Linked DNA regions of Drosophila melanogaster. The protein of the gene in region 2 interacts with the protein of the main gene of each other region in a pairwise test. Each region holds a gene or a part of one and is shown on either strand. Other genes may lie near its edges.

Region 1 (7,294 bases), on a different chromosome or scaffold from region 2:
TAAAAAGTTGTACTTCGGCGACCTGATAGATGGGAACACAAGTTGAAGTTGATTAATTCCGTTTTTTCATATAGTAATAAATCATGAAACCCACATTTATTTTATGTATTGAATGTTCTTAGATGTAGCCTGGAAATTTACAAGCGAATCTTTATATAAAATATTTAATTTTCGGACCAACAAATAATTAAAACTTTCTAAAGATAAGTTCATGGGGTTGAGTTCTTCTATTAAAGCTTATAAAAAACAATCGTTATGGATATGGATTATGGAATAAGCTAAGATAAATAAACTAAGGTAAGTCCCCTCTTAATTAATTGCAATCAATATCATCTGCAAGAGTCATCCGGCAGAATGCAATCCCTCGCCAGAGAAGAGAGCCCAATGGAATCCACATGCAATCGTTTTATTCTTGAGAAGATCGCGAAGCGTACGGCCGCATATAACATAAGAAGAATTTCATAACGGAGTGTTGTTAAAAGAAACTATATCATATCAAATATTAATATCAATAAAAAAAATGTGAGTGAAATCAACATCAAGACTAAATTACTATAATTTTCCAGCGGGTGGTCATGAAAATAAATGGATTCCTCTCCTTTAAAAGTTCATGTAAAATTGTCAAAAGGCATTTGTCGCACACTCGCGTCCATTATTTTGCAAGCCCTAATATTATTTTAGAAACAAAAAAAAATATTTATATTATCAACATTTATGTTGTCAAAATATAATCAATTGGTGTTTATAGTAATTTTGAAAAATTTAATTTTTAATTTAAGAAGAAAAGTGACAGAATTATAACATTCAGATACTTTGTCTCCTAATAACAACAGGTACAATTTTTCGGTCTTTTTATAAATTTAGATAAGATTTAGAAAGGATTACAAAATATTAAAAAATAAATAATAATCATTTCAGGTTGAAATATTTACCAAATCCCGTAAGGACGCCCGAGTAAACAACCCTATATATTCCTTAAGTGGTACTCACTGAGATTCCTGCTCGACATACTTCATGATGTTCACCATCGAAGTTCTGGATTTTTCCCGCAACCACACCCCTATGATATCCCTAAGGATATCCTCCAACTCTGGCAATTTTCCTTTAATGCCTCGATACCCAACCGTCTGGCCAGCGTTTTGCGTGAACTTCGTGTTCCGGCACTCGTCGTGCCTCAGGACACAATCCCTCACATTGAATTCAGCTAGGTAGGCCAGTTCCGGGTTCCACTTCAAGGTGCCCATCCGACTGGCAGGACTCAGTCCGTTGAACCCTCCTTTGGCCACGCTATCCCTCAACTCATTAAATCGCCTTAATAGGAATCTTTCCACCTTTGGGCTTATCACTATGAGCTCAGCGTCCAGAGAGCACTTGTCGTGCAGTTCCTGAAGATATTATTGGTAACAAGTTAGGATAGTAACGCATTTTGGAAACAAAAATAACCCAGAACTTTTAGTATGACATTTTGTAACGAAGGTATACCTCTCAAAAGCCAATCAATTCGAAATTAATATTCGTCACTAATCAATTTTATCAACAAATTTTATGACATTGAAAATTTGAAAAAGTCCTAAATTAATTTATATTTGGCTTTCTTTCAACCATTTATACCTTATATAGTGTATGCGAACAAAAAATGTTGTTTTGTTAATTTGAATTAGTTGGTTGTTATCACGTGGCACACATTTTAGTTTAGTAACTTACGATTGATGCGTTGCAAGCCACATGTTTGAGTTCTTTGTGGCACAAGGAGGGATCGCAGTAGTCCGGTAGTTCCGTTGAGGAGCTGTTTCCTGGCTCCTCTTGACCTTGCGAACCTCCAGGAGATGGGTGACCAGCTTCGGTGACCGCTGGACTTGGTGTCGTAGTGGCTGCCGTTTGAATGGTCAAACAACTGGCAATCAGAAAAACGACAAGGGCCAACATTTTTCATCCAGAGACCGTGGCGTATTAACGTTAGTTTTTCAAAACGTAGATCAAACGGTTCGGACTGTGAAATCACAATTTGCAAAGATCAAATGATACAGCAAAACCAATGGTAGAATTTTTAGCAGATTAAACATTATATTGATAGTTTGGTTCGTCTCATAAAAAGCCGGAACAAATTATTGGGCAAAGTTTTTTAAAGCTTAATTTTGGATTTCCAAAAAAAAAAAATTGAAATCTTAAAAGTTCACGTTATTCTACTTAATAATATTAACGTTTTGAGATTATCATTCGTGCCGAAAATTTACTAAAGTAATTTTTCTGCAAAGAACCCCCCTAGTTTTTTATGAATACTAGAGCTGGGAATTCATCGATATTATTCACAAAACGTACGCTAGCTTATCATGAACATATATTGCATACTAATAGTATTGCTTGTTTTCTAAATATTAGCTTTAAAGAAGTTTTGGAATTGCTTGTGATTTTAATCGATTGTTATCCATTATTGATAGCACAGTTAAACCAACAACAGGGAGTGCTTATTTACTTGTTGCTGTTTGACAACAGCTGTTTCTTGTTTTGATTTGAACATACAAACATATATAAACATATATGTTTATATAGAATCTATAGATGTTAATTAACCGGAGCAAAACAAGAGTGAGGTAAACTTAAATTCTTTATTTGAACTGATGGGCAAGGACAGTCGAACCAGTTAAGGATTATATAAAAAGTGGTTATATATCTAGATGGTAATCATCGTGTATTTCGCTGGTATGGTATGGATATTAAGAGACGCACTCTTGGGAGAGCGAAAGTAAATAAACCGGTCGCTGATAGCATTTAAGTTGGGCTCCACTCCACTCCCACCCTTCTGCCTACGTGGACTGCTCTTTCGATGGCCAGTTGATTGGCAACTGCCGTTTTGCTTGCACTTGCCTCCTCCGCTGGCTGCTAATCGTGAGCCATTAGTTTATCGCTCCTTATAGCTAGAAGTAGATTATGTACAAATATCAAAGGTTAATTCAGTGCCACAGGCACACCAACCGGTGGTTGGACTTTAAAGTAACACTCGAATACCATTTCTCCGTTTTGCAGCCCAACGTCTGAGCGAATCCTCGAGAAAACCGAAGCCGAGATGAAGTTCCGTGGCAATGGAAAGCTTTTGTGGAATTTGGTAGTGCTCCATATGGAATGCTTGTGATTCTCCGTTCGGTAATCTGTATCCCATTCGATTTCCAGACCAAGAACTCCTTGGCCCAGCAGTCTCCAAATGGGATCGCCAAGAAAGTGCTGCCCGCTAGCAGCTACAGCACCGTCCAGAAGACCATTCCCTTGGAGCAGCCGAATCTGCTGAAGTACCACGTCCTGCCGCTGGAGGAAACGCTGAACCGCTTCATGACCACTGTGGAACCTCTCCTGACGCCTGAGGAGTTTCAACGGCAAAAGGGAATCACCTCCGAGTTTTTAAAAAAGCAGGGACGCGAACTGCAGCTGCTCCTGGAAGAAACCGGCAGCAAGGAGAAGAATTGGCTGGCCCACCGCTGGCTGAAGGCTGCCTATTTGACCTATCGAGATCCAGTCACCGTGTTCGTGAGTCCTGGCATGACCTTTCCCAAGCAAAACTTCAGGGACTCACGTGCTTTCGTGGACTATACCGCCAGGGTTATCTATGGACTGGGAGAATTCAACGACATGGTGCACGCCAACAAAATTCCGATCGTTAAAATGGGCAAGAACGAGCTGGACAACAGCCAGTTTGGCAAGGTATTCGGCACATGTCGGATTCCCAGAAGGGGCACCGACGAGATCGTGTACAATCCCGACTCCGATTATGTGGTGGTGATCTACAAGAATCACTTCTACCAACTGAAGATATACAGTAAGGAGGGAAAGCTCATTGCTGCACCATGTCTAGCTGCTCAACTCGAGAATATCGTCTTGAAGGAAACGCAAGTGGGAGTTCCTTATGGTATTCTGACCACCGACTCCAGGGACAATTGGGCGGAGGCCTACGAATATCTGGTTGAGACTCCTGGCAACCGGGATGCCCTCAAGACCATTCAGGGTGCTCTGTTCACCGTCTCACTCGATGAGGGTACTATCCTAAAGGAAGGCGAAGAGACCGACGAACTTATCCTATCGCTGATCCATGGCAGTGGCAGCAAGATAAACAGCGGCAACCGTTGGATGGACAAGACTATTCAGCTGGTGGTAAACCCCAATGGAAACGTCGGATTCACTTATGAGCACTCGCCGGCTGAGGGCCAGCCCATTGCGATGATGATGGACTACGTGGTGCAAAAGATGTAAGTTGAATAGGGCGCATGTGGTTAAAAACAACTTTATATTTATAATTTATATTATTTTAGGAAGGAAGACCCTAGCTTCGGGCAATCTGGCTCACAGGACTTTGCTCCTGCACAGAAAATACAGTTCTCTTCGAGCAATAAAAGTCTAGAGAAATCTTTGAACGTCGCCCAGGAAAACGTGGATAAACTTGCCGATGCTCTCCAAATGAAGGTTCTGAAATTCAACGGCTTTGGAAAGGATTTCATAAAGAAACAGCGTCTGGGTCCGGACAGCTTTGTTCAGATGGCGCTGCAGCTCGCCTTCTACAAGTAACTAGATGATCTTCCTACAGATTTTCAATATAGCCGAATACATTTACGTTTTGCAGAATGCACTCGGAACCACCTGCGCAATATGAGTCGGCGCACTTGCGCATATTCGACGGCGGACGAACCGAAACTATACGCTCTTGCTCCAACGAATCCCTGGCCTTTTCCCGCGCTATGCAGGACCCAAACGTTACCGATCAGGAACGCGCCGCCAAGCTTCGTGAGGCAGTAGTGTCTCATCAGACGTATGCTAAGCTGGCTCTTCAGGGAAAGGGTGTGGATCGTCACCTGCTTGGACTGAAGCTGATGGCTCTGGAGCACAGCAAGCCAATTCCCGAGTTCTTCAAGTCGCCGGGCTTTGTTAAGTCCAGTCACTTCCGCATGTCCACCTCACAGGTAGCCACTAAATACGATGCTTTCATGGGATACGGCCCGGCGACTGACGATGGTTATGCATGCTGCTATAATCCTCGGGATAATGACATCATATTGGCCATATCCGCTTGGCGCCATTGCCCAATAACGGATCACTTGAAGTTCGTTAAGACCCTCGAGCAATCCTTTTTCGAAATGAAGAATGTTCTCGAGAAGAACCCGCCTGAGACTAAGTCGAAGTTGTAAAAATGTACCAGAATAATAAAATTTAGCAGGGATCAAACTTTGAAGGACTTGATTTAACAGATGAAAGGATTTGGACTAGAATGGACAAACACTTGCTGCACTTGAAAACTAAATATGCTTTACATTTTAGCTATGGAATCAATCGATCTATTAACGCTTTTTTAAGTGGAAAACTTGTTAGTCGAATATTAATAAATACAAAAGACATGACAATTAGGAAGTTACAAATTTAACAGATTTTTTCTGTTTCTATTATCGTCGACAAATATTTTGGCATGCTTAAGAACTAAAAGTATTGTTCTCTGAAACTAGACAATAGCTTTAATTAGTGGTCATGTTAATTTATTTTTTACAGTTCTTATTAAGATAAAAAACAAAGCGTGAAAAATTAGTCTTCACTGTTTGCACTGTGGCTCGTCGCTCCTTTAGCTCCCGTCGCTGCTGCCGCAGTTTAGACTTGAACAACTCCTCTAGTGCCTGGACACGATCGCACATCTCCAACTCCGCGATGATCTGCGGCCAGTCGTCCACTGCGAAAATGTCCATTAGTGCATCTAGTCCTTCAGACAGGGCCCACAGGTCATCTTCCTGGGCACAGTAAGTCAATAGGAAGAGCACTATTGCCTTAACCAGGGGCTCTGAGAGCAGAGAACCCAGCGTACCCAGCATGCGGTTCCAGTTAACGCGAATATTTATATCTGTGCACTTGCTAGCGCCCTCGATAATCATGTTGAGATCATTCTCGGTCATCTGGCCGAAAAGATCCTTGCGAGACTTGAGCAAACTCAGCGAGGAGCGCATTAGTGACGTAATGGCCTCCATAACGGATACATCTTCACTTCCCCTAAATGCTTGTTGACCCAAGATCATCCACATGTTATAGAGGTTGCTGCAGCCCCCCAAATCTTCAGGGGGCAGCACATTGCATAGGTTCTGGAGGCAAATCAAGTATGATACTCTTAATTTTTCCACTTTCTCCTTGATATTCTCTTGCTGGGACACAAGATTTTCCACAGCAGGTTGCAGTGGTTGAGCCTTTTGCCATAGTTTCTCGATCACTTTGTTTTGTTTGATAGTCTCCAAGAAGTTGGCGGGCAGTCCCCCCGATCCACTGTCAGCTGTCTCGTCCTCCATGTCGTAATCGGCCACGCTCTCAGACTCTGAATGCTCGCTATCTGTATCCCAGTTGCTCTGTTCATCGCTGGAGCCCAGGTTGGTTATAATCTCCGCTACCAGGCGCTGGGCATCTAGCAAGTGCTCGAGGTTCTTGAGTGCTACCTCGGCATCGCATTGGTTAGGTTTCGACTGATTGGCACTCTGTGTTTCCGTCATATCCTCTGTCTCCATGGAGATTTCCAGCACGGGGGCCTCGTTCTTCGACTTTGCATTTAGAATTTCGCTTTTGCAGCTTTGCAGCTGGGCCTGTGGATCTATGGAGAGTAGTTTGTCCAGACTGTTCAGGATTTCCCGAGTGTGGGCGGCCGCGCATGCGGGTACATTGCATAGGATACCAGCAGCTAAGGCGTTCAGGTAAAGCTGCGCGTGACTTTCTGTGGGAGCCACAAGAAGCTCAGGTAGTATTGTACTGCTGGCCAGGACGTTCCACGAGCTGGAGTTGTTCTCAGACACCACCAATACGAGTTGGGCCACTGAAATGGCAACTTCGAGTCCGAACTTTCTGTAGTCGAAGCCCAGCAGCAGGCTGGAAAGAAAGTTGGCCTGATTTAGTGCTTCTGTGGCGGTGGGCGAGCTCTCGCACAGATTTCGGAGCAGATGGATTGCTTGCTGGAAGGTGTCCGCATGCAGCTCGTTTTCGAATCCACCTTTTGTCAGATCATAGCTACGGACCAGAGTCAGCAGGGCGGTCAGTATGTCGTTCTCAACGAGGAAGTCGCACACCTCCGTGCCAAACACCGACAAATTCCGAAAGGCACCGGCCGCCGCATTCCGGATGGCGCTCTCCTTATCGCACAGCAGGGGGGCCGCAATCCGGACCAACTCGCTGTCGCGTATTTCGGGAACCTTCTCCTTTCGCAGCGCCAGCACGGCGAATGAGTGCAGTCCGTTCAGCTTCTCCTCCACGTTCGCCTGCTGCAGGTGAACGCAAATCGCCTCGATGGGTCCGC
Region 2 (6,286 bases):
CCTGCAAAATGTATATTTATTATTTATTTTCCTATGTGTGCAATCCATTATTTATTTGTTTTCCTCTGTAGCTTGACCCAATGCGACTTTATTACGCCCAGAGTTTGTTTGCCGTGGACTCTGCCTCTGGACAGCTTAGCCAATTTATTTTGTATGTAGTGCACGAAAATTTAATTTAATTGTGATTAGAAATTTTTTCAAATATATGTTTTATGCGGAAGCATTATTCCAAAATGTATAACTCATATTTCGACAAAAAAGCTAATGCACTGAGATTCCTTCTTCTAATTTTAGTACGCCCAAAGGACTGGAGGATGTGTCTTCATATCCGACTCTATTTGCCGAACTCCTTGGCGGCGGCTGGACAATTGACGAGCTGACGAAGCTGGCAGGCGGCAATTTCCTCAGGGTCATGCAGCAGGTGGAAAAGCTGAGGGATGACAAAAAGGCAGCGGGCGTGAAACCCTTCGAGGATCATCCGAACTTCCGCACGGACGACCCGTACAACTGTACGTCCAGCTAATTGAGCAGCGGATCCAAACACACCGAGGTTGTACCGGAAATGCCGGGGATGTACCCAAAATCGTAGGAGAAATCGATTGAACTGCTGCTTCAGATGTATAGTGGATAGACCTATGTAGCAAATTTAAAGGAACGTAAATTAAACTAATGATATAGATACCTACGATTCGTATAAGCTTTAAATACATATTTTTAAGATACGTAAACATTTGAATGCCTGATTATTTGGCTTGGGAAGTAACTTCCTCGATCTTTCCCTTTGGTAATCGAATCGAATTTCTTTTCATTTTATGACAATCTACAGACTGCCAAGGAAGAACACACCTACTTATAAATTGCACCAGAGTCCCACACAAAATTAACGTAACACTAAGTTATTTCCTACCTCGAATCCATATAGAAACCAGACTTTGTTAGCTCATCTCCAACTGGACCAACAAACACTCCACTTCTCTTCTGTGAACTTTCAATTATTTCACTAATTTACATGAGAACTACATATCAAGCATGTATTAAGCTAAGATATTTAATTAACAAAGTATTTGATTTAGCATTAAATCCAATGCGAATACTTATGAGTGGGAAAGCATACACTTATAAACAATGAGTAAAGTAATTAAATACTTTAGTTCCAGCGAGGGCGGGACGTAAATGAAATGTTTAGTTAAATTTTTAAGCAGTTCGAGGGCGTCGAAACTGAATGAATAAATAGCGTAATGAATACTAAATTAGTTCGTAAGCAACGTGTAGACGTGGCACTGCCTGCTACACGAACACTGTACATAGATTCCGATCACAATAAGTATAGCAAAAATTCATAATGATATAGAAGTTTTGCAGCATATAGTACATACATACATACTACATTCGTTTTCACCTACCAGATACACAGATACATAGATCTCTCAGTCAGTCTCTCTGTACCTTCTAAATAAAAAGATGGAAATATAGAAAAATGCGCTTAGCCTAAGTAAACAAATTATACATACTAAACCAATATTGCAAGCCGAAAAACCGAAAAATGTAAAACCGAAAAACCGAAAACCCAAGACAAAATCAATAATTGTACATTTTCTAAACCGAAACCGAATAATAAATTGTAAACACCTTTATAACGATTGATAGCATGAGAATCTACTGTTACGTTTTGTACGATTTTGTATGTGTATATAGCATTTTTACCTATACGCTAATTTGTATGGTCATTATATAGTTTTCTAGCAAGCGATTCGAGCGTATTATACTGTACTGGTCTGATGAGCAGATTTGTTGGTAATCATGTAGCTATAAGTCTGGCCTGGAAGGTCGCAAAATAAATATCTGTAAAGTTTATACATATACGAATATGCCTAGATCTAGAAATAAAAACCGACTAGCATAGAACAACATGCATATATACACTACAACTCGATTCTCAAAATGTCTTACACTTATTTGATCTCTTTCTCAGTTTGAAATTGAACAGAAACAAACACACAATCTCAGACATGCATATGTAAAACCAAATTGTAGTTAAAAACTTGAAAATGGTAAAATGTTTAGCGAATAAAACTCTAAAGGCAAACCAACTGCAGTAAATATAAAACCAATTAAGGAAAATAATAAATTGTTTTATTGCTGGAACACGTGGAATGGTGGAATGTGGAACTTAAGGGGGTTCTTAATTTATTTATTTTTTCGGTTTTTATAGGTGAATTCTAAAAAATAACAAGAGAGTCGAGTTCCCCGACTATCAGATACCCGTTACTCCGCTAGTGTGAATGCGAACGCAAAATTTCATCATTTTTCTGGGATATACATAGATAGATATTGGGGAATAAAATGAGTAAAAAATTTGAAATTTGTTAAAAGTGGTTTTAGAGCGTTAGAGTGGGCGTGCCAAAAGCTTTTTGCAAGTCGACAGAAATTTACATGATCAATAAAATTATGAAAAAATATCCAACAATTTTCAAAAATGTGGAGGTCAGATTTGGGCGGTTTTAGGATGTTAGAGTGGGCTTTGCAAAAAGGTTTTTGGCAAATCGATAGAAATTTGCAAGGTTAATAAAATTATAAAAAAAAATTATCAAAAATAAATAATAATTTTGTGGACGTCGAAGTTTTGGACGATTTTAGGGCGTTAGAGTGGGCTTGGCAACATGTGTCAATAAACTTGTGCTGAGTCTATGTCTCCAGAATCTGTATGCTGAATCTCAACCCTCTAGCTTTTATAGCTCCTTATACGGACAGTCGGACATGACCAGATCGACTCGGCTATTGATCTTGATGAAGAATATATATATATATATATACAGTCGGCGGAATAAATCGACGGGATAAGCCGACGGTACATGGCGCGACAAGTCACGGTATGTCAAAAACTTTTTAATTTTATGAATTTTTTATGCGAAAAATTCCATTAAAATGTTATCCACAGTTTTCGGGGAGTTTGAATTTTTCTGTTACGACACGTTTTTACATTCATTGTGTTCGAAGCTGTGCTAGATAAATAACAGCCAACGTACATACATGTAATCGCTGATAAAAAATCGTATTAAATAACCATGTGGGATTTATTGATTAAACATCTGGTGAAGTTAACTTATTGGGGTGCTAGCTTTATCATTTTAAGAATTTTTTTCATAGATTCCATTTAAGTTAATTTAAATGAATTCGTAGCCTTCATTCAAACCCATCCTTGAAAAATACCAAATCGTCTATCGTCTATAAAGACACTTGTAAACGGTCACATTGATATAACGGCAAGACCATATGTTATTTTATTTGCGATGGTCACACAGAAAAGTTGCAACCAAATATCGTTTTGGAATTTTTTACAAGGAACTCAAAAAGGAACAGCCAGTGCATGATTAGGAATTTGAGCGCCTCAAAGACCCACAGCCAGATCGAATGGCGTCCGAAGAGCGGGATGGGGATGTCCTGCTCCAGTTGCATCCCGAGGAAGTCGTGGAAACTGACCCACAGCTGCCCGAGGAAATCGAGCGCTGTTCTGGACTAGATTATAACGATTTTTTCTGGCGCTACATGCACAAGAACATACCGGTCATCATAGCCAATGTGTCTAACGACTGGGAGTGCCAGAACTGGACTGTAGGCCAGTCCAGTCCAGAGTCGCGGGATCTCAACTCCAATCCGAGTGCATCTTCCATCAACTTTGACTACCTCAAAACCAAGATCAGCGATGGCCCGGTTCCAGTTGCCAATTGCAATTCGTCGTACTTCAATAGTCACACCAAACTGGAGCTCAACTTCCACGACTACCTGGCCAAGTGGAGGAGTAGCATCGAAAGTCAATCGTCAGCAGCGTGGACGTCGGCGGAAGTGAATAGTAATGTGGCTCCCGCGAGCGGGGACAATCTCTACCTCAAGGACTGGCATCTGGCTGCCCAAATGCCGGGCTATAACTTCTACAAGGTGCCTAAATACTTTGCCTCCGACTGGCTCAACGAACAACTGATTCAGCAGGGGAAAGACGACTATCGATTCGTCTATATGGGGCCCAAGAACTCATGGTCTATTTTGATGCCTTACCTGGTTTTCTCATGCTAAATTACCTTCCATTCTAGGACCTCCTATCATGCGGACGTGTTTGGCTCCTTCAGTTGGTCCACCAATATAGTGGGCCTTAAGAAATGGCTGATAATGCCGCCGGGAGAAGAACTCAAACTCAACGATCGCTTGGGAAACCTGCCCTTTAGTATAGACGAGAAAATGCTGGATGAGCACAACGTGCGATATTACACCATTAATCAGCGGGCCAATGAAGCTGTTTTCGTGCCCAGTGGCTGGTTTCATCAGGTGTGGAACCTAACAGACACCATATCCGTCAATCACAACTGGTTCAATGGCTGCAACATATCCATGGTCTGGCAAAACCTTAAGAACAACCTGAAGGCCGTTTGCAATGAGATCTCCGACTGCCAGCAGATGGACAACTTTGAGGCCCACTGCCAGACAATGCTGAGGGCCAGCTTTGGTATCAACTACCTCGATTTTATAGAACTACTGGAGTTTATAGCCGCTCGCCGATTGGCAGAGGGAACCGTAGCCACCAAATTTTTACTATTCGATAGTTACACAATGAACGATTATCATGTGCAATACGATCTCGAGTGCTTATGGAAGATCACCCGGACTCTAACAGAGGATCCGACTATCCAGTGTAGTCCCCTCCAATTAGAAGATCGCTGCCAGGGATTGCTCGCTCGTTTAGAGTTTTAGAATAAGCACAGCTCAAATGCCTCGGCATATTTTTATACCAATACTTGTATTCATATACAACCGAAAGTCGTAATATTTTAATACAGACATTTAAACACCAATTACTCGCCCTCGGGCCATGTGAACTGCCCACCGGTGGGTTCCGTCCTTAGCCAGTAGCATTGATCGATGACCTGGAATCCCAGTTTGCTGAACATCTCCGATGACGGCTTATTCGAGGGGCCCACGAGAGCCATTACATCGTGACCTTGGACGGCTAGGCGGTATGCTATTTCCCTAGTCACCACACTGCCAAATCCGCGTCGCTTGTGTGTATCTTTGACTTGCAGGGCGCCCAAGTAGCCGCCTTGTAACCTACAGATTTCGATATCAGGTAATGTGTCTTTATAAAAATACATTCGTCTTACCTAATGCACCAGGCAACTAGTTCCTGGGTGTCTTCCTGGTACAATCCAACACTGACGCACAGGCGAATCTGCCTTTCTACGAAGAACAAAGATCCCTCATGATGATTGGGCCACTCTGCGTTAACCAATGGAGCATCTGCCACACTCAACGACTTTAAAACAAATCCAGATGGAGGTCTACAAGACTTAGATCATATAAAACTCGTTATGTTAAATGGATTATTATTTCTTACTCGACTTTCAGCTTGAGAGCGTCGTTGGCTTTCATAAAAAACAAATTCGTGCAGTCCCTGTACACCAGATTCAACTTTTTGGACTCCACCAGACTATCCAGGGCACCAATGTGTCTGGAGGGTATAGAACTGCATTTCAAACCCGACGACCAGTCCAGTAAATCCAGAGCTTTTCCAACAAGGCCGTTCGTGTTGTTCAAGCAACCTACGAATAGTTGATAGCGATCCTAAGAGAGGGCCGCCTCTCTTAGTGAGTTGCAGTCTATACATATATGTAGAACTCACCACTATAACAAAAAGACCTTCATCTCTGGCTTGTTTTGCATCCAATGTGTACATCTTAATATTCCTCATATGGGGCTGTTTTTTCAGAAATTCCACAAAGTTATCAAGGCAGTAGTATTCCTGGCAATATTTTGGCCAGTTTTGCTTGTAGAGCTGTTGGAACTCCTGGATATCTTTCAGCCCAATAACTTCTAATCGAGTACCCATATTGGTCGAGCGAAACAATCTTCCCCTTCGAGCGACCGAGTGAAAATGGCTCATTTGATTGTTGTTTGGGTGACTCAATCAAGCAGCTTGTCTATTTCTCTTCATGCAATCTCTTCAAATCGTTAGATTCTCTTACGTGTGGTTTTCTTATGGCCAGCCAGTACATTTTTTGCCAGCTGCTAAAACTTATCAGCTTTAATAATTTAAATCTACAAAAAAAATAACATTTACAGATAAACAAGTCCTTAATCTTATCGAACTCCTTTTGGCGGCTCCGTCATCAGCCAGTGACACTGGTCGTTGATTTTAAAGCCCAGTTTGGTGAACAGGCCCAAGGATGCCTTGTTTTCCGGAACCACTTCGGTGATTGTATCGCGTCCCAGCAGAGCCTCTTGTCTCGCAAATTCCTTC

Evidence for each region.
Region 1: the proteins of JMJD4 (region 2) and CRAT interact in a two-hybrid assay, tested with the Drosophila melanogaster proteins (one large-scale study listed by BioGRID).

Annotation. Positions count from the first base shown.
Region 1 is NT_033777.3:6,369,111-6,376,404, reverse strand, and holds CRAT (carnitine O-Acetyl-Transferase), read left to right. Parts: upstream 1-2,379; 5' UTR 2,380-2,559; coding exon 2,560-2,591; intron 2,592-2,830; exon of another isoform or gene 2,831-2,928; coding exon of another isoform or gene 2,929-2,945; intron 2,946-3,024; coding exon 3,025-3,103; intron 3,104-3,168; coding exon 3,169-4,235; intron 4,236-4,298; coding exon 4,299-4,547; intron 4,548-4,606; coding exon 4,607-5,168; 3' UTR 5,169-5,379; downstream 5,380-7,294. Other genes in the region: CG42564 (uncharacterized protein), read right to left, coding at 1-22, 991-1,385, 1,705-1,926; CG10286 (uncharacterized protein), read right to left, coding at 5,511-7,294.
Region 2 is NT_033779.5:18,155,666-18,161,951, reverse strand, and holds JMJD4 (jumonji domain containing 4), read left to right. Parts: upstream 1-2,679; 5' UTR 2,680-2,870; intron 2,871-2,938; 5' UTR 2,939-3,411; coding exon 3,412-4,034; intron 4,035-4,088; coding exon 4,089-4,743; 3' UTR 4,744-4,842; downstream 4,843-6,286. Other genes in the region: CG42750 (uncharacterized protein), read left to right, coding at 295-523; CG5783 (uncharacterized protein), read right to left, coding at 4,845-5,097, 5,151-5,327, 5,384-5,610, 5,669-5,875; CG15155 (uncharacterized protein), read right to left, coding at 6,127-6,286. UniProt on the Drosophila melanogaster protein: Catalyzes the 2-oxoglutarate and iron-dependent C4-lysyl hydroxylation of eRF1 thereby promoting the translational termination efficiency of eRF1. May be involved in regulation of chromatin structure, promoting expansion of heterochromatin.